4 linked regions of the Anolis sagrei genome follow. The protein of the gene in region 2 purifies or fractionates together with the protein of the main gene of each other region. This does not show direct contact. Links are inferred from orthologs where the notes say so. Each region holds a gene or a part of one and is shown on either strand. Other genes may lie near its edges. The genes, in order: AP2M1, EPS15, UBQLN1 and CRK.

Region 1 (7,424 bases), on a different chromosome or scaffold from region 2:
CCTGGGGCTGACTGTAGCTCAGATCACGAACTTCTTATTGCCCAATCTATCTATCTATCTATATATATAATAAAGAAGAGTGTTTGTTTGTATAGGAATTGTGGAGGGCGGTGTATGTGCCAGCGTTCTGATTGGCTGCCGCTGTGGTGCTATTTGCATATGGTCTCTGATTGGCCAGCTTCAATAGGACCCCCTGGTGGAGAAGAGGGTTCATGGCAGAAACGGGGCATGACAGAAGGAAATTTGCATATGCTCTCTGATTGGCCAGCCTCAAATCCAACATTCTGAGATGAGAAAGAGAGGAAAGGAAAGGCCAAAGGGGGCTGGGTCAGAACACTCCCAATACAGACCGAAATAGGCACACAAAGCCCCCATCACCCACTCTACATCCTACTGCAGTTTGGAGGAGGATGAACCATGGATGATGGGACTTGCAGTACCACCACTCACATTCTGAGACCACTGTTAACCTTATCCAATGACTGATCAGGACCAAACTTCGCACAGAGACCTCTCATGACCCACTGTACGTCCTGGTGTGGTTTGGCCGGGGATGGACCATGGATTATGGGACTTGCAGTACCATTGCTCAATTCTTCATACCACTGCAACCCTCATCCAATTACCAATAAATACCAAACTTGGCACACTGAGTCTCCATGGTGCACTCTACATCCAGGTGCAGTTTGAAGGAGGATGCACCATGGGCGATGGGACTTGCAATACCTGCACTCCCTTCCTAAGACCATTATAACTGCCAACAATGATGGATCAGGACCACAATTTACACAGAGAGCCTGCATAACTCACTCTACATCCTGGTGCGGTTTGGAAGAATTTGACAATGGATGATGGGACTTGCAGTCACCTCACTCACTTCCTGAGACCACCGAGACCCTCGCCAATGACTCATCAAGACTAAACTTGGCACATGGAGCTTCAATGACCCACTCTACATCCTGGAGCAGTTTGGAGGACGACAGACCATGGATGATGGGACTTCAAGTACCTCCACTACCCAAGACTGCTGCAAAACTCATCTAATGACCAATCAAGACCAACGTTGGCACACAGAGCCCCCATGACCCACTCTACATCCTGCTGCAGTTTTGGAGAAGGGTGGACCATGGATGATGGAACTTCCAATACCTTCACTCACATTCTGAGACCTCTGCAAACCTCTTCCAATGACGGATCAAGACCAAACTTGGTACATAGACCTCTCATGACCTACTTTACGACCTGGTGTTCTTTGGAAAAATTTGGGGATGGATGATGGGACTTGCAGTACCTTTGCTCACTTCCTGAGACCACTGAGACCCTCGCCAATGACTAATCAAGACTAAATTTGGCACATGGAGCTCCAATGACCCACTCTACATCCTGCTGCAGTTTGGAGGAGGACAGACCATGGATGATGGGACTTCAAGTACCTCCACTCCCTTCCAAAGATTGCTGCAACCCTCTTCTAATGACCAATCAAGACCACACTTGGCACACAGAGCCCCCATGATCCACTCTACATCCTGCTGCAGTTTGAAAGGGGATGGACTTTGGATGATGGGACTTGCAGTACCTTCACTCACTTACTGACACCACTGCCACCCTCATCTAATGACTGATAAAGACCAAACTTGGCACACAGAGCCCCCATGACCCACTCTATATCCTGCTGCTGTTTGTAGGAGGATGGCCCATGGATGATGGGACTTTGAAGTACCTTCACTCACTTCCTGAAAATAATGCTGCCATTATCCAAAGACCAATAAAGACCAAACTTGGCATACAGAACCGCCATTACCCACTTTCTCTAATAACCCGGGCAACGCCGGGTCCCCAAGCTAGTATATATATATAGAGAGAGAGAGAGAGAGTAATATAAATATATAAAATAATACATGAGTTTGTTAATTTGTCCTATGCATTGAGACTTTTAGGGACACCCTTGAAAGTGTGTATGTAAGTGTGTGTGTGTGTGTGTGTATGTCTGTGTGTATATATATATACATATATGTGCTGTAATATAAATATATAAAATAATACATGACTTTGTTAATTTGTACTATGCATTGAGACTTTTAGGGACACCCTTGAAAGTGTGTATGTGTGTGTGTTTGTTTGTGTGTGTATATTTATGTGTGTGTGTGTGTGTGTGTGTGTGTATATATATATATATATACACACACACACACACACACACACACACACACATACACACATTGTAATATAAATATATAAAATAATACATGACTTTGTTAGTTTGTCCTATGCATGGAGACTTTTAGGGACACCCTTGAAAGTGTGTATGTGTGTGTGTGTGTATATATGTATGTATATCTGTGTGTATATACACACATACACACACACTGAAATATAAATATATAAAATAATACACGAGTTTGTTAATTTGTCCTATGCATTGAGACTTTTAGGGACACCCTTGAAAATGTGTATGTGTGTGTGTTTGTGTGTATATTTATGTATGTACACACACACATACACAAACACTGAAATATAAATATATAATAATACATGAGTTTGTTAATTTGTCCTATGCTTTGAGTCTTTTAGGGACACCCTTGAAAGTGTGTGTGTGTGTATGTATGTATGTATGTATATGTGTGTGTATACACACACACACACTGTAATATAAATATATAAAATAATACATGACTTTGTTAATTTGTCCTATGCATTGAGACTTTTAGGGACACCCTTGAAAGTGTGTATGTGTGTGTGTGTGTTTGTGTGTGCATATGTATATGTGTGTGTGTGTTGGGGATGGGCCTCAGTCTGGGCTTGGCCTCAGGAAGAGGCGCTATTCAACAAGCCCTTTGCTCCCCGAGTTGGGGGAGGCCTCTAAAGGCGCAGGAGAAACAGAGAAAGGGTTAGAGTAAGAGAGGGCTCACCTGCTTCGGCCTCCCGCCTCTCCTTCTCCTCCTTCTTCTTCTTCACCAACGGCTAAAATGGCGGCCTCTCCCCCCTCCGCTATAACTGCAGCGGCGCCGCCAGTACGCATGCGCTGCCCGAGAGAGCGAGAGAAGCCTGCGAAAAGGGCAGAGACTTCTTGACCCGGCATGCAACGCGGCAGAGGGAGGAATCACTCGCAAGCTTGAGCTTCGCGCGGTGGCCGACGGGGCGCGTAGTTTTTTTGGTCTTTTGCAGTTCTATCTTATCATAAGGCTCTCCTTTGGCCCAGCTTTTCCCGTTTGAACTGGGAATCCTGGGATGTGTAAACTTGGAGAGAGCAGAGATGTCCCCTTTGGATCCTCAGTGCCTCACACTAAATTGCCATGGGTAGCTTGCAATATAGTTTATACAACTTATAATATAGTACAATATATTATATAATACCAATAGTATTGATATAATGTATTATATATGTATATTGTGGTATAATAATACAGTACAATATAATAATATATAATATAATAATAATATATAATAATATAATAATTGTATATTATATATTACATGTAATATTAGTAATAATATTGCCTTATAGTGCTATAGTACAATATCGTGATATCATATATATATATATATATATATGTATATGTATATGTATATATGGTATAATAATACAGTACAATATAATAATATATGATATAATAATTGTATATTATATATTGCATGTAATATTACTAATAATATTGCTGTATTGTGGTGTAGTACAATATAGTAATTCAATATATATAATATTATATAGTTGTTGTTGTTCATTCATTCAGTCGTCTCCGACTCTTCGTGACCTCATGGACCAGCCCACGCCAGAGCTCCCTGTCAGCCGTCACCACCCCAAGCTCCTTCAAGGTCAGTCCAGTCACTTCAAGGATGCCATCCATCCATCTTGCCCTTGGTCGGCCCCTCTTCCTTTTGCCTTCCACTTTCCCCAGCATAATTGTCTTCTCTAGGCTTTGCTGTCTCCTCATGATGTGGCCAAAGGACTTCCACTTTGTCTCTAGTATCTTTCCCTCCAGTGAGCAGCCGGGCTTTATTTCCTGGAGGATGGACTGGTTGGATCTTCTCGCAGTCCAAGGCACTCTCAGAACTTTCCTCCAACACCACAGCTCAAAAGCATCTCTCTTCCTTCGCTCAGCCTTCTCTAAGGTCCAGCTCTCACATCCGTAGGCGACTACAGGGAATACCATGGCTTTGACTAGGCAATGGATCTTTGTTGCCAGTGTGATGTCTCTACTCTTTACTATTTTATCAAGATTGGACATTGCTCTCCTCCCAAGAAGGAAGCGTCTTCTGATTTCCTGGCCAGTCTGCATCTGCAGTAATCTTTGCCCCTAGAAATACAAAGTCTGTCACGGCCTCCACATTTTATTTTCCAGTTGTCAATCATTCTTGTTGCCATAATCTTGGTTTTTTTATGTTTAGCTGCAACCCGGCTTTTGCGCTTTCTTCTTTCACCTTGATTAGAAGGCTCCTCAGCTCCTCCTCGCTTTCGGCCATCAGAGTGGTGTCATCTGCATATCTGAGGTTGTTAATGTTTCTTCCAGCAATTTTCACCCCAGCTTTGCATTCCTCAAGCCCCACACATCTTCGCATGATGTGTTCTGCATGCAAGTTAAAAAGGTTGGGTGAGAGGATGCAGCCTTGCCGTACGCCTTTCCCAATCTTGAACCAGTCTGTTGTTCCGTGGTCAGTTCTGACTGTTGCTCCTTGGTCCTTGTACAGATTCCTCAGGAGAGAGGGAAGGTGCCTTGGGATGCCCATCCCACCAAGAACTTGCCACAATTTATTATGATCCACACAGTCAAAGGCTTTAGAATAGTCAATGAAGCAGAAATAGATGTTTTTCTGAAACTCCCTGCCTTTCTCCATTCTCCAGCATCCAGATATTGGCAATCTGGTCTCTTGTTCCTCTGCCTTTTCTAAACCCAGCTTGAACATCTGGCAACTCTCGCTCCATGTATTGCTGGAGTCTTCCTTGCAGGATCTTGAGCATTACCTTACTGGCATGAAAAATAAGGGCCACTGTACGGAAGTTTGAGCAGTCTTTCGCATTTCTCTTTTTTGGTATGGGGATATAAATTGCCAACTTTGTTTCTTATCATACCAATTTTTACCTGAAATTTACCTCCAATGTTTCTAATTTTCTGGAAGAGGTTTATATATATAATACATTACTTCAATATTATAGGGAGCATACAACACCCCTATTAAAACAGCCTCATTGGCTGCCAATAAGTTGCCGAGTCAAATTCAAGGTGCAGGTTATGACCTATAAAGCCCTAAACAGTTCGGGCCCCGCCTATCTACGCGATCGCATCTCCCTCTACAAACCAGCGCAAACTCAAAGATCCACAGGGGAGGTCCTTCTCTCGCTCCCACCACCATCATTAACACAGTTGGTGGGGACGAGAGAGAAGGCCTTCTCGGTGGTGGCCCCCCACCTCTGGAACCTCCTCCCCAGAGAAATAAGACAGGCCCCATCCCTCTCCTCTTTTTTTAAGAACTTGAGACTTGGTGGTTTCACCAGGCCTTTGAGAATTACTAGCATGAACTCCAGCCCCTGGCCACTAGCTAGAATATGCCCCTTCTCCTCACCTATTACCCCGGTCAGTTCTCCAATACGCTCAGGAAATGGCTCCACTATTACTGTTGCTGGGACAGGTTATTGCACTTTACCCATTCCCCTGGCCCCCTATATCTTGCACTAGCCTCGCCCGGCTATATGCTTAGGCCCTTTCTGAAATTCCGGCCCAAACAGCTAACCTTGGCATGAAGAATAAGGGGAACTGGTTTTATTGTATACTAGCTGCTCCTGCCACACGTTGCTGTGGCCCAGTCTGTGTATATGTGTTTTTTGTGTGTACATGTGTGTGTATATATTTGTGGTTTTGCCCATGCGTTGTAATATTTTTTATTTATTTATTGGTTTTTTAAGTTTCTTCAGCTGTTTTTCAGTTTTTTTATGAGTAATGGTCACTGGTTTTTAAACTTTAATTACATTTGGCCGCAGATTTTAAATGTGCACTGTACTTTGTTTAATGTGTATGCTATTTGTGTATGAAATTTATTTTAATTGCCTTGTATTGTGTCTGTTATTGCTTGTATTGATGTATTGCGGGCTCGGGCTCATGTAAGCCGCACCGAGTCCCATGGGGAGATGGTAGCAGGGTATAAATAAAGATTATTATTATTATTATTATTATTATTATTATTATTATTATTGGTCTGATAGTTGTATTGTGTCCAAATTTGGTGTCAATTCGTCAAGTGGTTTTTGAGTTATGTTAATCCCACAAACGAACATTACATTTTTATTTATATAGATAGATGTATTGTACTGATAATTTTACACTTATGTTTTGTTTACTCTGTATGTTTGTGTGTTTTTGTGATTGGAAACCGCACTGAATCCCCTAGGAGGGAGAGAGAGTGGTATATAAATAAAGTTTTATTATTATATATTATTATATAACGACTAAAATAAGCCACACCGAGACCACATGGAGTCCAATAAAACTATTTTTATAAATAAAAAAACACATAGGATGGTTTCAATTTATATAAAATTTGGAAGGGGGGAGAATATGTGTGACACAGGAAGATAGCACCAAAGGAGGAGGAAGGAAACGGAAGGAGGAACAGGGCAAAAGTGTAGTAGTACCTGGTCAAGAGAGAGGAGAAAACAATGTCGCATCCAGGAAAACATAACAGGGATGGCTAAAGTGGCAGCAAAACAGCCTCGTCTTTATATAGCAGGCATGAGCAAAGTCCTAGTCCGACATTCAAGCCAATCAAACGTGTTGAGAATTATATCGAGGGAAGATATCTCATTTCCTGCAAGGCTCCTGTTTGTGCTTGTGATTTCCACCTGGCAGCATGAATGCCAGAAAGCAATGTTTCTCCCAATCTGATGCCAGAATGTCTGTTCTATGGCAGGACTACAAGTGACAGAGTGTTCCCATAGAAACTGTTTCATCTTCCAGCAGAGCAGCCTGGACTGATCCATCTTTACATACATTTCCTTCAAGCCCTGAATGGGTTATTCTTTAATCCAGAAAAAACATGAGAAGACAACACTGGGAAAAGGGAGGGAAGCAAAGCAGATGCAAGGAGAAAAGAAATGGGAAGAGAGAGATTATCACCTGCGCCCATCCTGCTCTTTTCTCTGGTGTTCTGGGGCTCAGTCACACCTTGAGGACAGCAAGACTATAAGCTTAGTTCCCAAATATGTGGTTTTAAAAGCCTGCATATGATGGATATTCCAGGCCCCTTCCACACAGCTGTCTAAAATCCACATTGAACCGAATTATATGACAGTGTGGACTCTGATAAACCAGTTCAAAGCAGATATTGTGGATTATCTGCCTTGATATTCTGGATTATTTGGCTGTGTGGAAGGGCCCTCCATCAAAGCCCACTAAGCCTCCTATGGCAACTGGCACATATTTGTCTCTGAAGGT
Region 2 (7,926 bases):
TCGCCAACTCAGAATCCATAAATTCATTCCACATTGTCAATTCCTATCAGTTCTAGTCATCCTTGTCCTTTATCTGTCTGCCAGATTACCCAAACGCCTGGTCCCAAATCCATGTTTTTAATTTCCTTCTAAAGGAAAGGAGGGATGTCGATGACCTAATTTCCCCGGGGAGTGAATTCCACAGGTGAGGGGCCACCACCGAGAAGGTCCTGCTCCTCATCCCCGCCAATCTTGTGATAGAGGCGGGGCCGAGAGCAGGGCCTCCCCAGAAGATCTTAAACTCTGAGGCGGGACGTAGAGGGAGATGCGTTCGGACAGATATGCTGGGCCGGAGCCGAATAGGGTTTTGTAGGTCAAAACCAGCACTTTAAATTGTGCTCGGAACTGGATCGGCAGCCAGTGGAGCTGACATAACAGAGGGGTGGTATGCTCTCTGTATGACCCTCCGGTGAGTAATCTGGCTGCCGCCCGCTGGACTAATTGAAGTTTCCGAACAGTCTTCAAAGGCAACCCCACGTAGAGTGCGTTGCAGTAATCTATTCGGGATGTAACAAGAGCGTGGACCACTGTGGCCAGATCTGACTTCCCAAGGTACGGCCGCAACTGGCGCACAAGTTTTAATTGTGCAAAAGCTCTCCCGGCCAACGCTGAGACCTGGGGTTCCAGGCTCAGCGATGAGTCCAGGATCACTCCCAAGCTGCGAACCTGCGTCTTCAGGGGGAGTGTAACCCCATCTAACACAGTTCCTCCAATTAAGTTATTTATGTGATGCCTAAACTGTATTTGGCAGAAGCAATGGGCTCTTCTTCTTTTAAACAACAACATTTTTAATTTTAAGTTCCACTTTTTTAAGTAATCAAAATTCAGAAGACAGTCTAAAACTGCTTAAAACCAACATGTGAAACCTCCAGTCCTATTTTCCATCTCACATTGCCTTTGACTCTCAAAACTGCATATGAGGACAACAAGGTCTTTCTTATGTATTGCTGCAAATGATTATTGACTCTGAAGGTAGAATACACTCAATAAGATAGTGAATTCTGCTGTTCCTGTGTGTGTGCACTTATCCTATCTAATTTAAATTTAAAGTATATGTAGGGAACTGACGACCCATTTCAATCAACTATGACTAATTTGGCCTACTACAGCTTGACTATAAACATAGCAGAGTCTGAGAAGGCAGCTAGTTTGAATATAAATTTGTGCTGAACAGCGATAAAACTGTTTTAATCAAGCAAACCAAAGCAATTGACATATTTACTCTTTTGCGGCAACATTTCAGTGCTCTGTTTTTGGCAGAGCCCTTTTTTGTGGAGTGTACAAGCCGCAATTATACTTCGGACTTACACATTTGTTGAATTAATTTATGTGTGTAGCAACTTCTGAGAGCAACCTTGAGTTAAATATGCTAACTGCTCTCACAAAGCAATTCTTTCATCTTAGTGTGATTTGTTCAATAAACGTGAAATATTTGCACATACACCCCTAGTCTAAATAGATCTGACTCTCCAGCATTTCTCAGATAAAAATAGGGATAGTTTGAGGACATGTAATACCTTTACTTATGGTATTTTCCTGAAACCCCTCCTGTTACCTCCACAGCTATACACAGCTAAACACTCTAGCCAGTAAGGTGATTCTATAGAAGTAATGCCACACGACACTGCTTTAATAGCAATAGCACAGTACTATGGACTCCTGGGAGTTGTAGTTTCTTTAGTCTTCCCTGCCAAATAGTGTTTGTGCTTAACCAAACTACATCTGCCATGATTCTATAACAGTGAGTCATGGCAGCTAAGGAGTATTTAGCAGAATGGTAAATAATACTACTGGTATATTGGGTCAGGTTTTTTTTTTTTTTGGAAGAAAATAACTGCAACTCAAATAATTGCAGGAGGCATTCAATTATTTATGAATGGCGGGGGACAAATTTGTGCATTAACTTTAAAAGTTAATGAAAAATATCTTCCCAACGGCAAAAAAGGATGGTTTTTATCAAACAAGGACAGATACCAGAAAATAAAACCTGTCCTTGATAAATAGGTCACTTGGAGCAATTTGAACAATGTGAATAGATACATACAAGTGGAAGAATGTCATTAGTCCAGGATCTGACTGTCTGAAAAGAAAATCTCAGCTTTAATTTTGCTTTAAAAATAAAATTTCTTGGTGCTTATTATCATGAATATTGCATTATATAAACACATGTTGTGACATCTCAGAATTAGGAACCACGACTGCTTCTTATTTCATGTATCTTATATCATGAACATAATTGTAGTGTTTCTTTCCAAAAGGTACCAAATCCAAAAAGAAAAAAGAAAAAAAGAAAAATTAAAAGGAATTATGGGTAGCAGCACATTGTTGGCTAGGAGTACAGATCAAAACTAGCAAGATATATCAAATCACTTTGGTATAGGGATTTTTATTATCTGCGACTATGGTGGCGTAATGGATTAAACGCTTGTGCCGGCTGAACTGCTGACCTGAAGGTCAGTGGTTTGAATCCATGAGATGGGGTGAGCTCCTGTCCGTCAGCTCCAACTTCCCATGTGGGCACATGAGAGAAGCCTCCCACTGGATGCTAAAACATCCTGGCGTCCCCTGGGCAACATCCCTGCAGACGGCCAATTCTCTCACACCAGAAGCAACTTGCAGTTTCTCAAGTCATTTCTGACATTTAAAAAATCCCTTTAACTTTTCATATGGATTTAGTACCTTTTAGAAACAAACTCCATAGTTATATATTTCAAATCTAATGTGAGGGATGTCAGTACTGTCCGGAGGGCGTATTAAGCAGAAACTGGTTTTACAACATACCAAAACTCATGAAAGGCCATTCTCTCCCATTAAAGGACATATAATTTAGAGCAGCCCCCTAGTTCCCAACAATGGGGTACATGTCCCACAGGGGGGCAATTTGATTTTGAGGGGTGACAATGGAGGGGGAAAGCCCCTCATAGAGATTAGTGGTGAGAGCATAGCGTTAGCTAGAGAGGGCTAGTTAAGAACAGGGATGAGACAACAGGAAGTAAGAGAAATTTACCCCTTGCAAGGGAAATTTACTCCTGAAAGTTATCATCATGGAGAAAAGGTGTCCCCACTGGAGTTTTCTCACCAATCCTTGTTTCTACCATAAGCAAAATTTTGACTGATAAGGACTGTTCTATGGATATGGCTTTTAACACATGCGATTGTTGTTGTGGAAAGTGGTTTATTTGTTTTTATTATGATTTGTTTTATGATAGAACGCTTATATTATATATTTATTATTCAATTTATTGCTTATTATTTTTGAGGCATCAAATGACTGCCTTCATTTTGTAAGCCACCGAATCCCCATGAGAGATATCCAAAGTGTGTGAGAGAGATATATATGTGTGTGTGTATATATATAGCAAGAAAATATACTGACTGGAGTTATGAGCTATAAGTAATATATTTTATTAGGATTATTTTCTCTATGTATTGTGATTTGTTCTTTTGATCTGTTTGCTTTGATTTTAGCATTTGGATTGTAAGTGGGATTGATACTATTTATATCAACTTAAGTAGCTGAGGGGGAAAAGGAAGGGGCCTGAGGCTGTTAGGAATTTATTTATTTATTTACAGTATTTCAATCCTGACTTTCTCAGCCCGAAGACGACTCAGGGCGGCTTACAAATTTGCAGCAATTTGATGCCACAACAGTCATAAAATACAATTAAAAAACATAAAGCACAACATTATACAAATCCATACAAAAAACCCTTTAAAACATATAATTGCCTGTGTCTTCCTGTTAAGACTCATTTTTCCAGTAGCATCGTCTAAGCCGTTCCATGTTTACTCTTTCATAGTTCCATGTTTATCTATTATGCTGTATTTCCAAAAGCTTGTTCAGAGCCAGTTTTTTTTTACAGAAAGTCAGGAGGTAGAGGGGGCCAATCTAATATCTTTAAGGAGGGAATTCCACAGCAGAGGGGCCACCACTGAGAAGGCCCTGTCTCTCCTCTCCTCCAGATGCGCCTGCGAAGGTGGGAATAAGAGCTGATGATCTTAAGTTCCTAGATGGTTCATAAGGAGAGATACGTTCAAACAGGTAAGCTGGGCCGGATTTGTTTTGGGAATTGTGGAAGTTGAAGTCCAAAACACCTGCAGGGCCCAAGTTTGCCTAGGCCTGCTCTAGTGTAATGAGGTCTTAGGTCAGTGGTTCTCAACCTGTGGGTCCCCAGATGTTTTGGCTTTCAACTCCCAGAAATTCTAACAGCTGGTAAAGAAGGAGCCTGTACCACACTCCGGGGCAGAGAGTTCCACTGCTGAACAGCTCTAACAGTCAGGAAGTTCTTCCTAACGTTCAGATGGAATCTCCTTTCTTGTAGTTTGAAGCCATTGTTCCACGTCCTAGTCTCCAGGGCAGCAGAAAACAAGCCTGCTCCCTCCTCCCTATGACTTCCTCTCACATATTTATACATGGCCCTCATCACGTCTCCTCTCAGCCTTCTCTTTTGCAAGCTAAACAATCCCAGCTCTTTAAGCCGCTCCTCATAGGGCTTGTTCTCCAGACCCTTGATCATTTGAGTGGCCCTACTCTGGACACATTCTAGCTTGTCAGTATCTCTCTTCAGTTGTGGTGCCCAGAATTTCCGGGAGTTGTAGGCCAAAACACCTGAGGACCCACAGGTTGAGAACCATTGTCTTAGATAGAGTTACTATTTTCTGGCTCCAAGAGGGACACTGTGTACGAAATCCATTCAGGTTCCATTCCTCATAGTTGAAGAAAGTGGCGAGGACGCCTTAGGAAGCGAGCTTGAGGCCTGGTGGGAGAGTTTCTCGCTAGGCCGCAGCAGAGAGGAGCCGCACAACACTGCTCCCCCTGAGCCTGGGGAGCTTTGGGAGGCCGGCTCTGCTCCGGAGAGGCTGCCGGGAGGGAGGGAAGGAAGGAAGGCAGGGAGGCGGGGCCTGTCCGGGGCGTCTCGGGAAGTTGCTGAAGTTGGGCAGAGAGTGAGGGACGGAGGGCCGGGCCTTGCTCCGCTTTTCCGCGAAGGGGAGAGCTACAGGATGGAAGCAGCATGGCCACGCATTTCTCCTTGACGCAGGTGACTGTGGGGAAGGCGGGAGGGCGGAAAAGGAAACCCTCTGGAGGGGCCCTTGGCTGAGGGAAAGGCTTCCTCCCGCCCCCCGGTTCCTCCCCCCCCCCCGCTTTTGTGTTTCCCTCCCTTCCCCTTTGACGCGGCCTGCCTCTTCCAGGCCCTTATCTTACAACCACCTCTCTCAACTGCCACGGAGTCTGTAGTTTTGCATCGTGAGCCCTGTAGCAGTTGTACAGTCTTGGTATATAGCAGGCATGGGCAAACTTGGGCTGAATAAAATCCCACATTATCTGCTTTGAACTGGAATATATGGCAGTGTGGACTCAAATAACCCAGTTCAAAACAGATATGGTGGATTGTCTGCCTTGATATTCTGGGATATAGGGCTGTGTGGAAGGGCCCGCCAGGTGTGGACTTCAACTCTCACAATTCCTGTCTAGGAATTGTGGGAGTTGAAGTCCACTGCACCTTGAGGGCCCAAGTTAGCCCATGCCTGCCCCAGGACCCTCCAGGTGTTGTGGACTTCAACTCCCATAATTCCTAACAGCCTTCGAATTGTGGGAGTTGAAGTCCATAACATCTGGAGGGCCCAAGTTAGCCCATGCCTGCGGGAAAGGACCCTGGGAGTTGTAGTTTTTTGGTGAGACAGCAGCCCCTCTCTGGCAGAGAAGGCTCAAAACTTTGCAAAACTACCCTTCCCAGGACCCCATAGTATTCTCATCTCTCTAGGGCAGTACTGAGCTCCCGATGGCACAGTGGGTTAAACCCTGAGGACTGAAGGCCAACAGGTCGCAGGTTCAAATCTGGGGAGAGCGTGGATGAGCTCCCTCTGTCAGCTCCAGCTCCCCATACAGGGACATGACAGAAGCCTCCCACAAGGATGGTAAAACATCAAAACATCTGGGCGCCCCCTGGGCAACGTCCTTGCAGACAGCCAATTCTCTCACACCAGAAGTGACTTGCAGTTTTTCAAGTCGCTCCTGACATAGTTATCAATCTTTTTTTGACCAGGGATCGCTTTGACCGGGGCCACTCTCCGACATTAGTACCAAAGGAGTTACAAGTCAGTTTATGGTCAACTTTAGATTCGGTTTGGGGTGGTGATTCAGAAAATTGCATTGAACAGACCACATCAGCTCTAGTTTCTGATACAGAACATGTGCCATGGTGAACAACAGGGAAGGAGTGGCAGGCGGTGCAAAAGGAGCAAAAATTAAATAAATAAAGAGGAAAGGTTCGCGGATCGGATTTTCGTCCTCACAGCCCACTGGTGGTCTGCGGCCCACAGGTTAAGAACCACCGCTCTAGGGATACATATACGCTGCAGACTTAGGGCCCTCCCACAGTGCCATATATTCCAGTTCAAAGCAGATAATGTGGGATTTTATTCAGCTGTAAGGAAGGGGGCTTATACTATTAATGCTCAATGCTATGAAATAATGGGATTGGTCATTTCATAAGATCTTTAGCCTTTTCTAGCCACTCACAAAATTATACCTCCCGTGACAGTTAAAAGTGGTGTCAAACTGTACTAATTCCACAGTACATTCACCCCTAGATGTTGCTTTCGAAGTGTACTGTACTGTGGGTACATCTACAGTTCTACACTGTAGACTGGGTATGGTTTAACACCACTTTAACTACTGTAGCAGTGCAAAAATCCTGTAAAACTACAACTCCTGGGTTTCCATAGCATTGATCCCTGGCAGTTAAAGTAATGTCAAACTGCAGTAATCCTATGATGTAGAGATGCACCCTTACCAAAGTTGTTATACTGCAGCAAATGTGTTTCTGGATTGCCCCAGGAGTTGACCCGTCCATGCACTTTCTCATCTACATTGTAGAATTAATGCAGTTTGATATCACTTTAACCACCATACTTACTTACTTTACTACTTACCATAACCCTTCATGTCCAGTGGCGAAAATACTGAGCCCCATACTTATGAGCTGTGGAATGAGAGTTGTAGTTTTATAGGGCCTTTAGCCTATTCTTCCAAAGACCACTGGTATCTTACCAAAGTACACTATAGCATTGAGCTGCTGCAGTTAAGGTAGTGTCAAACTATACATTCTACAGTGTAAATACACTGTAAGATAGGTTGAAGGTCTTTTATCTGTAATGCTTGGAACCAAAGTGCTTCCAAATTTGGAATATTTACATACACATAAAGAGATAGCTTGGAGATGGGACCTAAGTCTAAATGTGACATTCATTCATGTTTCCTATAACCTGAAGTCAATTTTATAAACAATATTTTAATAGCTTTGTACATGAAACAAAGTTTGTGTACATTGCCTGTTTCCTAAGAGATACATATATTTTTCTTGCTCTGTGTTACACTCTTTTTTAAGCCACTTTTGTCCCGTGAATGTCTCTCTCTCTTTGTAAATACTTACCTTCACAAGCCTCAGAACAAGCTAGGTGTGTTACATAGAGAACAGAAAAAGTCAAAGGTGAAACTTAGGTTTGTTTTTTGTAACTCTTGAATAGCTTATTTCTCCAGTTCTTTTTGGAACATGATGGTCTGAATGTTAATATATAAGTTCTGGTGGCACAGAAGCCCCACTTCAATTCAAATGTGTAAAAATCCTTCTTGACTAGGAAAGCACCAGTGTTTGGACTGGGATAAGAAGATGCCAAGGCAGGATTGCTGCCTTTCATGTTAATTAGTCTTTTAGATAAAAACAGGAAATGTAGTCATAATGACTTGTGTAGGTGCTGTGTATTTATGCAATCCTCATTATTCTATGTGTACCTCCTGGGGTTCTTTATATTTGTGTAAATAAGAATTTGGTGCTGTTTTCATGGAGGAACAATTACAGGCCTAACTCAGGGCCCTTCCACACAGCC
Region 3 (7,749 bases), on a different chromosome or scaffold from region 2:
ATCTTCTAACACATAGCTTGAAAGTAATTTTTACATAATATTTTGCATAATTTGGTGCATGAACCAAGTTTGTGTACACCGAATCACCAGAAAGCAAAAGTGTGCCATCTCAGCCCCCCTTGTGGACAACTGTAGATGTTGGAGCATTTGGGGTAAGGGATGATCAACCTATCCCAAGCCTGCCAGATTTGAAATCATGGCGACCCTCCCACTGAAGCTAGCTGGTCTCTCTCCCTGTCCGCCTGGCTCCTTTGTGTCCTCCTCTAGACAAAGGCAACCCTTCTTTGCGGTCATTTTGCGATTCCAGCACCAGGTGTTTTTCATCCCGTTAGCTCTACAAATGCTATCTCATTTTAAAACATAAAGGAAATGGGGGTGGGGGATCTAGAATAATCCCCTTTATAGCAAACTTTCTGGGCCTGTGGAGCAGTCGAATGCCTATCAGTGGAGGCACAAAGTAGGTAAGCGATTTCTTCATGCTCACTGTTGGACAAAATCCACAAATTAGAATGTTATATAAAAACAAATGAATGCCAACACCAAAAACAAAACAAAACAAAACAAAAAAAGCCCTGGAAGAGTATTAAATGAAAAAAGCTGAAGACCTGGCTCTGCGCACAAGCGTTTGAAGAATAAGTTTCTACAGTTTCAACACAGTCTGGATTAAGGATTATGAGCAGGGCTTTGTATGAAGAGAACAATGTACTTTATATGCTTTTTAAAATTTGTATGCTGTTTTATGTGTATTATTGCTTAATGTTAATTGTTTTTAAGTGTTTTAAAGTTTTATTGTTATTGCTGGGGGTTTTTTGCCTTAGTTGTAAGCCGCCTTGAGTCCCCTTTGGGTGAGAGAGGTGGGGCAGAAATGAGTTGAATAAATAATAAATATTATGCTCTTTAGGCTTTTTCATGGGCCCTGCTTTTACTCGGGAGTAGCTCCCTTGAACAATGTCACCCTGGTGCCACTCATTCATACCCAAGTGAAAACGACAGAGGGAGGAGAGTGCCTCTGTCTACATCAGGTATGGGCCAACTTGGGCCCTCCAGGAGTTTTGGACTTCAACTTCCACCATTACGCAAAAGATGTGGCTCGTGGCTGTTAGGAATGGAAAGGAAGGGGTCCGAGGCTGTTAGGAATGGAAAGGGAGGGCCCGAGGTTGTTAGAAATAGCACTTCAAGGAACAAGACAGACTGGAAACAAGTTACAGCATACTTAACAAAAAGGAATGTGAAAATACTTATTTAAGAAAAACAAGAAAGCAATGGACAAAACGAAGAAAGGGAGAAAAAGAAAAGAAAAAATAAAGAAAAAAGAAAGGAAAGGGAAAGAACCTCATAGAAGATACTGGGAAGTCTGAAAATCTACATTCTTATTTATTTTATTCTATCCATTTCTACATCTTTCATACTCACGATTTCATACCCCCTCCCCCCCCAGCCCTAACTTTACTCGACCTTTAACCTTTCTCTTTTCCCTTTAAACACTATTATTCCTAATCCAATCCACACTTCTACTTTTATATACATATCTCTATCTGAAGCTCTTTGATATTTTTACCATAACTTTGTGTTTTTGGGGGGGGGGGATCTAAATAAAAATTATTTTAAAATAAAGAAATGGAAAGGAAGGGGTGTGAGGCTGTTAGGAATGGAAAGGATGGGGTCTGAGGCTGTTTAGGAATGAAAAGGAAGGGGTCTGGAGCTGTTAGGAATGGAAAGGAAGGGGTTTGAGGCTGTTAGGAATGGAAAGGAAGGGGACTGAAGCTGTTAGGAATGAAAAGGAAGGGGTCTGAGGCTGTTGGAAATGGAAAGGAAGGGGTCTGAGGCTGTTAGGAATGAAAAGGAAGGGGTCTGAAGCTGTTAGGAATGGAAAGGAAGGGGTCTGAGGCTGTTAGGAATGAAAAGGAAGGGGTCTGAAGCTGTTAGGAATGAAAAGGAAGGGGTCTGAAGCTGTTAGGAATGAAAAGGAAGGGGTCTGGGGCTGTTAGAAATGGAAAGGAAGGGGTCTGAGGCTGTTAGGAATGGAAAGGAAGAGGCCCGAGGCTTTTAGGATTGGTCCAAAACGCCTGGAGGGCTCAAGTTAGCCCATGCCTGGTCAACACACTAAAATTAATACAGTAGGCCGCACATTGTGGGATCATGGGAGTTGGAGCCTTCTCTGCCTCAGAGTGGGGCGCCTCACCCGACCACAACTCGGACGAGTCCACAGCACGGAGCCCCGGGAGTTGAAAGCGGTGCCGAGCCGCGTCCATTCCCCAGTGTAGAGATTGAGGCCTCCCTCCCTCCCTCTCTCTGATGAGGCAATTGCTCCTCCCGCGTCAGCACTTCGGAGGCCGGTGACGAGGCAAAGGCCCCGCGCGGAAGCCAGCGGCGCGAGGAGGAAGGGAGAGAGAACATGGTCGCCGGTTCCATACACACACACACACACACACAAAATACCCCTTCACACAAGGCACACACTCCGCTCTGAGGCACCAGCCACGCCCCTCCCTCCCTCCTTAGCTGGCTCTCTCTCTCTCTCTCTCCTCTCACCTGCCGGATGCTGCTGGTCTCCGGCACGGCGAATTCCTCCTTCTCCTTCGGGGTCTTCACGGTGACTTTAATGATCCGCGGCTCAGTGGCGGCGGCGGCGGCAGGGGCGGGATGGCTCTCGCCGGGGCCCTGGGGGCTCTCGCCGCCCTCAGACATGGCGCGCGGGCCGACAGACGGAGGAGAAGCCGCCTCCGCTCGTTAAAGCCAGGCCGCGCGGAGAATGCCGGGTAACGCCGACCCTCCCTCCCTTCCTCCTCTTCGTCGCCTTCTTCTTCTTCCCCTCCTCGGCCCCCTTCCTCCTCCTCCTCCTCTTCCCTCGCGCACACCCCGACGCGCGACTCAGCTTTCTCTCCCAGAGTTCAACGGAAACAGTCCGGCTCGGCTACTACGGCGCCTGGTGATGACGTCAGGGGTCGGGGAAGTTGCTAGAAAAAAGGGGAGCGGGGTTGGTAAGAGAGAAAGAGAGAGAGAGGCGCAGGCGCGCATGTGCACAACGGAGAGGAACAAAAGGCTCCCCCCCCTCCCCGCGCCTCGGAGGTGCCGAGGTCACTGCGCACGCGCGGCTGGGGCGGAAAGCCCCCGCTGGCATTGTCAGGCGGGCGGATGCTCTGCGCCTGCGCAGAAAAAAACTTTTCGGCTGCTCGCAGTGGCGTAGTTAGTTACTCTCTGGTGCGTTGTGTGGTGGGATACAGGCCGGGGCAAACGTGGGTCCTCTTTGGCGTTTTGGACTTCAATTCCCACAATTCCTAACAGCCTCAGGCTCCTTCCTTTCCTCAGCTTAAGCGGCTGAGGGGGAAAAGGAAGGGGCCTCTTAGGAATGGTGGGAATTGAAGTCCAAACACCCGGAGAGCCCAAGTTTGCCCAGGCCAGGTGGAAACTTCGTGGGAGATATATATTAATCATTTATTTTTAGTGTCAGAAGCAAATGGAGAAGAATAATCATAATAATAAATGATATATATTATTATAATATCATAAAATTATAATGTATCATAATATAATAATTATATATATTATAAAATTGTAATATAATGATATAATATATCATATTATAATCATTATATAATATTAATATAATGATATAATGTATTATAATAATATAATAAAGCTTGGGAAGTGTTCAACTTGTGATTTTGTGATTCGAAATCCAGCATATAGATCTCGTTTGCTGTGACATTCTGTGTTTTTGTGTCAGTAAAAATATAATAATGACAAGAGTTTGGAGCACAATACTCCGACCTCACGATCATGTTATGGGTCATCGATGTTGCAATCCCAGGCGACAGCAGGATTGGAGAAACAACTGGAAAAGCTGACATGAGGATTTAAAGACTGAACTGCAAAGACTTGGGCACAAGCCAGTCATGGTGGTCCCAGTGGTGATTGGCACACTGGGTGCCGTGCCTAAAGACCTTGGCCTGCACTTAAACACAGTCGGCACTGACAAAATTACCATCTGTCAGCTGCAAAAGGCCACCATACTGGGATCTGCATACATTATTGTGGACTTCAACTCCCACAATTCCGAACAGCCAGCTGAAGTCCAAAACATCTGGAGGGCCCATTTGCTCATGCCTGGTATAGAAGCCCCCTAAACTGAGATTGCCGTATCTGAAGAATACATGACTCACAACAATGAAAAGTAGAAGGCAGTAAATGAGGAAACCTGTATCACAAATTGATAGACTCAGTCAAGGAAGACATGTCCCGAATCTGCAAGAGCTGTGCAGGGTGGCTAACCTTGTGCAGGATTAATAGAGTTAAATTGAGACATCTCATTCATAGGATCACCATAAGTCAAAGCAGATGGTAGTTAACAACAGCCATACTGATGGAGAAATTTCAGCAGCTGCCCCCCGCTTTCCTTTGAAACAAACTGAAAATTTGGGACTATAACTTCCATCAAACCTAATTAATACATCTTATATCCTGTAGTAAGAAAAGATGGTATAAACATTGTTTTAGTCTAAAATATCTGGAGGATCATACTCTGATAATATGATCTGAATAAAAATATCTATAAATTGACTAATTGTTGGCATTTAACACATTTAATGTGTGCTAAAATGCATAGAGGATCTAATTACTACGGTCTCCCTACCTGAGCTAGCGGGGGTGGTCTCGAGCCTGGCATTGGAGTCTCAACGGCTTCTTGTACTGGGGGACTTCAATGTACATGCCGAGACTACACTAGGAGGAGCGGCTCAGGACTTCATGTCATCCATGGCAACCATGGGGCTGTCCCAACGAGTATCTGGCCCACCCACTGTGCGGGACACACATTGGATCTGGTTTTCTGTCAGGGATGGGAGCAAGGTGGCGGTGTCGAGGAGTTATCCACTTCTCCGTTGCCATGGACCGACCACTATCTGGTCAGATTTAGACTCACCACACCTCCCAACCTCTGCAGAGGTGGGGGACCCATTAAGATGGTCCGCCCCAGGAGGCTTATGGATCCGAATGGATTCCTGATGGCTCTTGGGGATTTTCCTGCCACCTCGGTTGGTGATCCTGTTGAAGCCCTGGTGTCTCTCTGGAATGGGGAGATGACTAGGGCCATAAACACGATTGTTCCGGAACGTCCCCTCTCAAGTAGCCGAGCTAAACCAGCACCTTGGTTCAACGAGGAGCTGGCAGCGATGAAGCGAAGGAAGAGGAGACTAGAGCGCGTGTGGCGTTCGGACCCGAGCGAGTTAAATCGAACACGGTTTGTTGCCCTACTAAGGGCATACGCCGTGGCAATAAAGGCGGCAAAGAAAGCCTTCTTTGCGGCCAATATTGCGTCCGCAAAGAACCATCCGGCGGAGCTGTTTCGAGTTGTCAGAGGGCTATTGAACCCCACCATTCCGGATGGGAACCCTGACAACTCGACGGCCCGCTGTGAAGCATTTGCTCGGTTCTTTGCGGACAAAGTCGCTTTGATCCGCTCTGGCCTGGATACCACGTTAACGGCAGTCTCTGAGGATGTAACACGAGCATCTGCTTGTCCGATTTTGATGGATTCATTTCAATTGGTGAAACCCGAGGATGTGGACAAGATACTTGGAGGAATGAGAGCTACCACATGCATCCTAGACCCCTGCCCATCCTGGCTTCTAAAGGAGGCCAGAGGGGGATTGGCCGAGTGGGTGGAGGTGGTGGTTAATGCCTCCCTTCGGGAAGGCAAAATTCCAGCCAGCTTAAAACAAGCTGTAATAAAACCGCTGTTGAAAAAACCATCACTAGACCCCACTCAATTCGTCAACTATCGGCCTGTTTCCAATCTTCCCTTTTTGAGCAAAGTCCTGGAACGTGTGGTGGCCTCACAACTCCAGGTATTCTTGGTAGACACGGATTATCTGGATCCGGCACAGTCTGGTTTTAGGCCAGGACATGGTACCGAGACAGCCCTGGTCGCCTTAGTGGATGATCTCCGCAGGGAGCTCGACAGGGGGAGTGAGTCCCTGTTGGTCCTGCTGGATCTCTCAGCGGCCTTCGATACCGTCGACCACGGTATCCTTCTGGGACGCCTCGCGGGAATGGGCCTTGGTGGCACTGTTTTACAGTGGCTCAGGTCCTTCCTAGAGGGTCGTACCCAGAAGGTGTTGATGGGGGACAGCTGCTCGTCCTCACAACCATTGTTTTGTGGGGTCCCGCAGGGTTCAATACTGTCCCCCATGTTGTTTAACATCTACATGAAGCCGTTGGGAGAGATCATCCGGAGTTTCGGGGTGCGGTGTTATCTGTACGCAGATGATGTCCAACTCTGTCACTCCTTCCCACCTACTTCTAAGGAGGCTGTTCAGGTCCTGAACCGGTGCTTGGCCGCTGTGTCGGACTGGATGAGGGTGAACAAATTGAAATTGAATCCAGACAAGACAGAGGCACTCCTGGTCAGTCGAAAGGCCGAACGGGGCATAGGGTTACAGCCTGTGTTGGACGGGGTTACACTCCCCCTGAAGACGCAGGTTCGCAGCTTGGGTGTGACCCTGGATTCATCGCTGAGCCTGGAGCCTCAGGTCTCGGCGGTGGCCAGGGGAGCATTTGCACAGCTCCGGCTCGTGCGCCAGCTGCGCCCGTACCTCGGGAAGTCTGACTTGGCCACGGTAGTCCACGCTCTGGTCACATCCCGTATAGATTACTGCAACGCGCTTTACGTGGGGCTGCCCTTGAAGACTGCCCGGAAGCTTCAGATGGTCCAGCGCTCGGCAGCCAGGTTGCTAACAGGAGCAGCTCTCAGGGAGCATACCACTCCTCTGTTGAGCCAGCTCCACTGGCTGCCAATTTCCTACCGGGCACAATTCAAGGTGCTGGCGCTAGCCTACAAAGCCCTAAACGGTTCTGGCCCCACCTACCTCTCCGAACGCATCTCCACCTATGAACCGACATGGACATTAAGATCGTCCGGGGAGACCCTGCTCTCGGTTCCGCCTGCGTCGCAGGCACGGTTGGCGGGAACGAGAGACAGGGCCTTCTCGGTGGTGGCCCCTCGGTTATGGAATGCCCTACGCAATGACATCAGACAGGCCCCTTCGCTGCTGGCGTTTCGGAAGAAGCTCAAAACCTGGCTCTTTGAGCAAGCGTTTGGCTAATTAGCGCAATTGAATACAGGATGACGGTAAACTGAACATAGGAACGGCATAAGGATATGAGACTGGATCTTGTTTGTGATCGAGGCACTATGTATGAGTGTTGTATGTTTGCTATTGTGTATGCTGAGTTTTAATTGTTATTGCTGTGTTAATTAATATTGTGTAAACCGCATTGAGTCACCTAATTTGGTTGAGAAACGCGGTATAGAAATAAAGCAAATAAATAAATAATAAATTAATTAATGTTTGAAGAATAAACAACATATGGGATCTTTTTACCATGTGTGGTGGACTTGCAGAGCAGTCAAAAGTTCTGTTGCCAAAGACATAACGTGATATTTAAAAATCTTGAAATTTAATTTTCATTGAAACCTGAACTGTATAATTAAGCTTTTGCACAATTAAAGCTTGTGCGCCAGCTGCGCCCGTACCTTGGGAAGTCTGACTTGGCCACGGTGGTCCACGCTCTGGTTACATCCCATATTGACTGCTGCAACGCTCTATACGTGGGGTTGCCTCTGAAGACTGCCCAGAAGCTGAAATTAGTCCAACGTTCGGCAGCCAGATTACTAACCGGAGCAGGGTACAGAGAGCGCACAATTCCTTTGTTATACCAGCTCCACTGACTGCCAATTAGCTTCCGAGC
Region 4 (7,518 bases), on a different chromosome or scaffold from region 2:
CTCAAGAGTTGGAAGTGGCTTCTAAAGGCCAACCAGTCCCAGCCCCTTCTGCCAAGTGGGAAGATAGAATTAACTATCCCATTATGATGCAAATATGATCATAGGATTATGATTATCAGACTCCTAGAGCACTCCCCCCCCCCCGCCAGAAAGGAAGATGGAATGACTAAAGTATTATTATTACTATTAGACTCACAGAGTTGGAAGGGACTTCTAAAGGCCACCAAGTCCAACCTTCTGCCAGGAGGGAAGACAGAATTACTATATTATAATTACTATTATTGTTGTTATGCAATTATTATCAGAGTTGGAAGGCACTTCTAAAGGCCACCCAGTCCAACCTTTGTCTGCCAGGAAGTTACATCATTATTATTATTATTATTATTATTATTATTATTATTATTATTACTCATAGAGTTGGAAGGGGCTTCTAAAGGCCACCCAGTCCTCCTCCCTTCTGCCAGGAGAGAAAATAGAATTACTATATTATTATTATGCAATTATTATTATGCTTCCAGAGAGTTAGAAGGGACTTCCAAAGGCCACCCAGTCCAACCCTCTTCTCCCAGGAAGGAAGACAGCATTACATTATTATTACTATTATTATTACTATTAGACTCAAGAGTTGGAAGTGGCTTCTAAAGGCCAACCAGTCCCAGCCCCTTCTGCCAAGTGGGAAGATAGAATTAACTATCCCATTATGATGCAAATATGATCATAGGATTATGATTATCAGACTCCTAGAGCACTCCCCCCCCCCCCGCCAGAAAGGAAGATGGAATGACTAAAGTATTATTATTACTATTAGACTCACAGAGTTGGAAGGGACTTCTAAAGGCCACCAAGTCCAACCTTCTGCCAGGAGGGAAGACAGAATTACTATATTATAATTACTATTATTGTTGTTATGCAATTATTATCAGAGTTGGAAGGCACTTCTAAAGGCCACCCAGTCCAACCTTTGTCTGCCAGGAAGTTACATCATCATCATTATTATTATTATTATTATTATTATTATTATTATTATTACTCATAGAGTTGGAAGGGGCTTCTAAAGGCCACCCAGTCCCACGCCTTTCTGCCAAGCAGAATAGAATTAACGATCCCATTATGATGCAAACATGATCATGGGATTGTGATTATGAAGTGACCCCAAAGGCCACCTAGTCCCACTCTTTCTGCCAGGAAGGAAGATAGAATTAGTATATTACTATATTATTATTATCAATCATCCTCACTATCAAATTTAAGGGTTGGAAGGAGCTTCTAAAGACCACCCAGTCACACCCCCTTCTGCCAAATGGGTAGATATAATTAACTATACCATTATGTGGCCGGCATGACTGCATGGAGCGCCATTACCTTCCCCCTATTGATCTACTCACATTTGCATGTATTTGAACTGCTAGGCTGGCATAAGCTGGGGCTGTCAGTGGAAGCTCACACCATTCCCCAGAATCGAACCTGTAACCTTTTGATCAACAAGCTCAGCAGCTCAGCGCTTTAACCCACTGTGCCACCGGGGGCTCTAATTATTAGCATATTATTATTAGCATAGTACAATATCAGTATTATATAATACTATATTGTACTATACCATTAAATTGTAATATAATTAGCAATAGTACATGTCATATAAATATATATAATCATAATATAATGTTATTATATTGTATGTAGTACAATATATTGTTCTATACCATTATACTGTAATATAATTAGTAATATTACATATAATATAAAAGATATTATTAGTTATTATATTAGGTTCTTGTAGGTTTTTTCGGGCTATAGGGCCATGTTCTAGAGGCATTTCTCCTGACGTTTCGCCTGCATCTATGGCAAGCATCCCCAGAAGTAGTGAGGTCTGTTGGAAATAGGAAAATGGGTTTATATATCTGTGGAATGACTGGGGTGGGGCAAAGAGCTCTTCTCTGCTGGAGCTAGGTGTGAATGTTTCAACTGACCACCTTCATTAGCATTTGAAGGCCTGGCTGAGCCTGGGAAAATCTTTTGTTGAGAGGTGTTAAGATGTGCCTGGTTGTTTCCTCTCTGCTGTTTTGCTGTTGTAATTTTAGAGCTGAAGCTCTCTCTTGCCCCACCCCAGTCATTCCACAGATATATAAACCCATTTTCCTATTTCCAACAGACCTCACTACCTCTGAGGATGCTTGCCATAGATGCAGGCGAAACGTCAGGAGAAATGCCTCTAGAACATGGCCCTATAGCCGGAAAAAACCTACAAGAACCTAGTGATTCCAGCCATGAAAGCCTTCGACAATACAGTTACTATATTTTATTACATTATAATATTATATGTATATACAATATATTATATTACAGGCTTCTAAAGGCCACCCAGTCCCTTCGGCCAAGCAGGATAGAATTAACTATCCCATGCTGATAGAAATATGATTCTGGGATGATGGTGACCAGAGCCCTGGAGCCGGAAGTGACCCCCAAGGCCACCTAGTCCCGCCCCCTTCTGCCAGGAAGCAGACTATATCACTATGTTATTATTATTATGCTCAGATTAAGAGTTGCAGGGACTTCCAGAAGCCACCCACCCCGCCCGCCCGTGCCAGGAAGGAGTACGGGGTGAGGACAAGGCTGCCACCCGCGAGAAGCAGGCCTAGGCAGGAGGCGCCCATTCCCGCAGGGCAGGGGGCGTGGCGAGGGGCGTGGCTCACCCGGAGGCCCGCCCCCTCCGGCTTGGCTGTTGACGATGTAGTGGGAGACGCGGGAGCTCTCGGAGACGGAGAGGACGAAGTCGCCCGGGATGGTGCCGGAGTCGCGGACGAGGAAGGTGCCGTGGCGCTGTCCCTGGAGCAGCGCCACCGCCTCCGCCCGGCTCAGCCGCCCCCAGTACCACCCGCCCTGGTCCTCCGCGTCGAACTGCCCCGCCATGGCCGGACGCGGGCGGGAACACGGCAGGCCCCTCGCCTCCGCGCTTCGCCTCAGCCGCCCAAGATGGCGGCCGCCGCGCCTCGCCGCCCGGAAGTGACGCGCGCGAGGAGGGCGGCGCCTCGTCCGGGGAAAGGGGCGGGGCTGAGCCAACGCCGCGCCTGCGCAGAAGCAGGGGGCGGGGACGCTGAGGCGAGCATTCTGAGTTCGAGGCCGGCCACAGGGGAAAAAAAAAACTACAAACACAAAAAAGAGAAAGCATAATTAATTATAATAATTATACTTATTATTATTATTATATTATATAATAATAATAATTACCAGTAAGGTAATGCTCAAGATCCTGCAAGGAAGACTCCAGCAATACATGGAGCGAGAGTTGCCAGACGTTCAAGCTGGGTTTAGAAAAGGCAGAAGAACGAGAGACCAGATTGCCAATATCCGCTGGAGAAAGGAGAAAGGCAGGGAGTTTCAGAAAAACATCTACTTCTGCTTCATTGACTATTCTAAAGCCTTTGACTGTGTGGATCATAATAAACTGTGGCAAGTGCTTGGTGAGATGGGCATCCCAAGCCACCTTGTCTCTCTCCTGAGGAATCTGTACAAGGACCAAGTAGCAACAGTCAGAACTGACCACGGAACAACAGACTGGTTCAAGATTGGGAAAGGCGTACGGCAAGGCTTGCATCCTCTCACCCAACCTTTTTAATTTGTATGCAGAACACATCATGCGAGGATGTGCGGGGCTTGAGGAATGCAAGGCTGGGGTGAAAATTGCTGGAACAAACATTAACAACCTCAGATATGCAGATGACACCACTCTGATGACCGAAAGCGAGGAGGAGCTGAGGAGCCTTCTAATCAAGGTGAAAGAAGAAAGCGCAAAAGCCGGGTTGCAGCTAAACGTCAAAAAAACCAAGATTATGGCAGCAAGAATGATTGACAACTGGGAAATAGAGGGAGAAACCGTGGAGGCCGTGACAGACTTTGTATTTCTAGGTGCAAAGATTACTGCAGATGCAGACTGTGGCCAGGAAATCAGAAGAGGCTTACTTCTTGGGAGGAGAGCAATGTCCAGTCTCGATAAAATAGTGAAGAGTAGAGATATCAGACTGGCAACAAAGATCCACCTAGTCAAAGCCATGGTATTCCCTGTAGTCACCTACGGATGTGAGAGCTGGACCTTAGGGAAGGCTGAGCGAAGGAAGATCGATGCTTTTGAGCTGTGGTGTTGGAGGAAAGTTCTGAGAGTGCCTTGGACTGCGAGAAGATCCAACCAGTCCATCCTCCAGGAAATAAAGCCCGACTGCTCACTGGAGGGAAAGATACTAGAGACAAAGTTGAAGTACTTTGGCCACATCATGAGGAGACAGGAAAGCCTAGAGAAGACAATTATGCTGGGGAAAGTGGAAGGCAAAAGGAAGAGGGGCCGACCAAGGGCAAGATGGATGGATGGCATCCTTGAAGTGACTGGACTGACCTTGAGGGAGCTGGGGGTGGTAACGGCTGACAGGGAGCTCTGGCGTGGGCTGGTACATGAGGTCACGAAGAGTCGGAGATGACTGAACGAATGAAGAACAACAACAACATTATTATTATAAAAATAACAGGTCATAGCACCGTTAAAGACACATACTTATGATATACAGTACAGTATATTGGAATATTGTCTTCTGTGCTATTCTAATTATTTATTAACTTTATTTATACCCTGCTAACATCTCCCGAAGGATTCGGTGCGGCTTACAAAAGACCAAGGCCCTCAATAAAACACAGCATAACAAATACAACAATAATACTCATAAAGCAAAACAAAAAATTAAAGCAGTAACAATAAACATTAAAAACAATAACACCACGACGCATTTAAAACAAAGGCCGGGCCAAATGTAATGAATAAAATTTAAAAGTGCTGGACATGACAGGTAAAATGTATAGGTTTTTAGAGGTAGGTGCAATGTGCAGACAATCTTAAATCTCTAGTAAAGTGCGTTTGGGACATGTGGATAGGAGCTTCCTATTCTGGAAAGGCACACTGGAACAGCCACATCTTCAAGCTCTTCCTGGAGACTGCCAGCGTTGGGGCTTGTCTGATGTCCTTGGGGAGAGAGTTCCAGAGTCGGGGGGCTACCACAGAGAAGGCCCTGTCCCTCTTCCCCCCCAAACCGCGCTTGCGACGTAGGTGGATCATGAGCAGAGCCTCTCCAGATGATCAGAGAGATCGTGTGGGTTCGTATACGGAGATGCAGTCATGCCCTTAATAATGTAAGGTAATGTAATATATTGTAATACAATAGTATTAATAATAATATGAAATTATAATTATATATTTTATGTCGTTGTTCATTCGCTCAGTCGTTTCTGACTCTTCGTGACCTCATGGACCAGCCCACGCCAGAGCTGTTTAGATCTACAAGCCATTCTAAACACCTTCGCAGAAGCATACGATAAACTCGGCCTGTCATCTAACATTAAGAAAACCAAAGTGCTCTTCAGTAGTCACCAGTCAATCCCTCTCCAATGCCAGAGATACAGCTTAATGTTGTAACATTAGAAAACACTGACCATATCCACTCCCTTGGCAGCCACCTTTCCACAAAAGTCAACATCAACACTGAAATACAACACTGCCTGAGCTCTGCGAGTGCAGCATTTTTCTGAATAAAGCAGAGAGTGTTTGAGGACCAGGACATCCGTAGGGATACCAAGCTGCTTGTTTATAAAGCTATTGTCCTCCCAAACCTGCTATATGCCTGCGAAATGTGGACTGTCTACAGACATCACATGCAACTCCTGGAACGATTCCATCAGCGCTGCCTGCAAATCTTGGGTAGACAAGTGGAAAATGTCAGCGTGCTGGAAGAAGCAAAGACCACTAGCATTGAAGCGATGGTCCACCAACTCCGCTGGACTGGCCACTTGTGCCGGATGTCCGACCACAGTCTCCCAAAGCAGTTGCTCTACTCCGAACTCAAGAATGGAAAATGGAATGTTGGTGGACAGGAAAAGAGATTTAAAGATGGGCTCAAAGCCAACATTATAAACTCTGGCATAGACACTGAGAACTGGGAAGCCCTGGCCCTTGAGCGCTCCAGCTGGAGGTCAGCTGTGACTAGCAGTGCTGCAGAATTTGAAGAGGCATGAATGGAGGGTGAAAGAGAGAAACGTGCCAAGAGGAAGGCACGTCAAGCCAACCCAGACCGAGACCGCCTTCCACCTGGAAACCAATTCCCTCACTGTGGGAGAAGATGCAGGTCAAGAATAGGGCTCCACAGTCACCTACAGACCCACCAGAAGACTGAACCTGGAAAACTATCCTACTCGGCCAACAAGGGATCGCCTAAGTAAGTAAGAGCTTCCTGTCGGCCGTCACCACCCCCAGCTCCTTCAAGGTCAATCCAATCACTTCAAGGATATCATCCATCCATCTTTTATATTTTATATTAAATGTAATATTACTAATAATATTACAATATAATGGTATAGTACAATATAGTAATATTTAATACTGATATTGTACTATGCTAATAATATAATATATTGTATGTATATATACATCTTGTAAGCCGCTCTGAGTCCCATTCGGGGTGAGAAGGGCGGCATATAAATGCCATAAATAAATAAATAAAGGGATTCAAAAGAGGGCCACAAGGCTGAAAAGGCTTTTTAGCCCTTTGAGGTTTGGGACTTAATTTTCCAGAAGTCTCAGCCAGCTTATCCAATGGCCAAGAATTCTGGGAAGTGGAGTCCCAAAGCCTAGAGGGCCACAAGAGTGAAGAGATCTTTTAGCCCTTTGGGAGTTTGGGACTCAATTTCCCAGAAGCCTCAGCCAGTAAATAAATAATAAATATTATATTACATCACTATAATAAGACGTGCGCAAGCGCAGAAGCTAAGATTCCTGAAAGGCGAGTAGACAAGGAGTGCGCACGCGCAGAAAACGGATGCGCAAGCCTAGAGGAAACAAGGCGTGCGCAGGCGCAGAGGCCAAGGCAGTGAAAGGCGAGAGACAAAGTGCGCAGGCGCAAAGGCGAGAGACAAGGAGTGAACAGGCACAGAAAAGGATGGGCAAGCCGAGAGAAGAAATAAGTCAGGCGCAGGCGCAGAAGCCAAGGCCGGGAAAGGCGAGAGACAAAAGTGCGCAGGCGCAGGAAACAGCTTGCCAAGCCGAGAGAGGAAACTAGTCTTGCGCAGGCGCAGAAGCCAAGGCCGTGAGAGGCGAGAGACAAGGAATGCGCAGGCGCGGAAAGCCAGGGAGAGGAAACACAAAGTGCGCACGCGCCAAAAGGGCAACAAGATGGCGCCGCCCAGGCCGGCGCCGTGTTTATGCCGCAAGCGAGCCTGTTGAGGGCCATGGCGGGGCTGTGGGGTTGTGTGGCGCCCCTGCGGGTTCCCCTCGCGGTCTCCCTCTGCCGCGGCCTGGCCCAAGCGGCGAAGGCGGGGAGCGTGAGGGCGCGGCGCGAGGCCGAGGAGGCGGCGCCGGTGTTCGCGTTCGTGGGGCGGCAGGCACGGCGGAAGGGCCGGGTCTTCGTGTGGGGCTTCTGCCTGGCCGGCGCCCTGGGCCTGCCCAGCTTCGTGGTCCCCGCCGCCCCCTCCCTGAAGCGGAGGAGAGTC

The links.
Region 1: the proteins of EPS15 (region 2) and AP2M1 purify together in Homo sapiens (affinity purification with mass spectrometry; 4 studies listed by BioGRID and IntAct, counting the BioPlex papers as one, with this or other methods). This does not show direct contact. The link is inferred for Anolis sagrei from reciprocal best matches to the Homo sapiens genes EPS15 and AP2M1.
Region 3: the proteins of EPS15 (region 2) and UBQLN1 purify together in Homo sapiens (affinity purification with western blotting; 3 studies listed by BioGRID and IntAct, with this or other methods). This does not show direct contact. The link is inferred for Anolis sagrei from reciprocal best matches to the Homo sapiens genes EPS15 and UBQLN1.
Region 4: the proteins of EPS15 (region 2) and CRK purify together in Homo sapiens (affinity purification with mass spectrometry; 3 studies listed by BioGRID and IntAct, with this or other methods). This does not show direct contact. The link is inferred for Anolis sagrei from reciprocal best matches to the Homo sapiens genes EPS15 and CRK.

Annotation. Positions count from the first base shown.
Region 1 is NC_090023.1:264,557,012-264,564,435, forward strand, and holds the start of AP2M1 (AP-2 complex subunit mu), read right to left. Parts: upstream 3,012-7,424; 5' UTR 2,910-3,011; intron 1-2,909.
Region 2 is NC_090024.1:174,234,484-174,242,409, forward strand, and holds the start of EPS15 (epidermal growth factor receptor substrate 15), read left to right. Parts: upstream 1-4,926; 5' UTR 4,927-5,051; coding exon 5,052-5,078; intron 5,079-7,926. UniProt on the Homo sapiens protein: Involved in cell growth regulation. May be involved in the regulation of mitogenic signals and control of cell proliferation. Involved in the internalization of ligand-inducible receptors of the receptor tyrosine kinase (RTK) type, in particular EGFR.
Region 3 is NC_090022.1:228,697,280-228,705,028, forward strand, and holds the start of UBQLN1 (ubiquilin-1), read right to left. Parts: upstream 3,018-7,749; 5' UTR 2,689-3,017; coding exon 2,533-2,688; intron 1-2,532. UniProt on the Homo sapiens protein: Plays an important role in the regulation of different protein degradation mechanisms and pathways including ubiquitin-proteasome system (UPS), autophagy and endoplasmic reticulum-associated protein degradation (ERAD) pathway.
Region 4 is NC_090031.1:27,477,554-27,485,071, reverse strand, and holds the start of CRK (adapter molecule crk), read right to left. Parts: upstream 3,019-7,518; 5' UTR 2,908-3,018; coding exon 2,691-2,907; intron 1-2,690. Other genes in the region: RCC1L (RCC1-like G exchanging factor-like protein), read left to right, coding at 7,231-7,518. UniProt on the Homo sapiens protein: Involved in cell branching and adhesion mediated by BCAR1-CRK-RAPGEF1 signaling and activation of RAP1.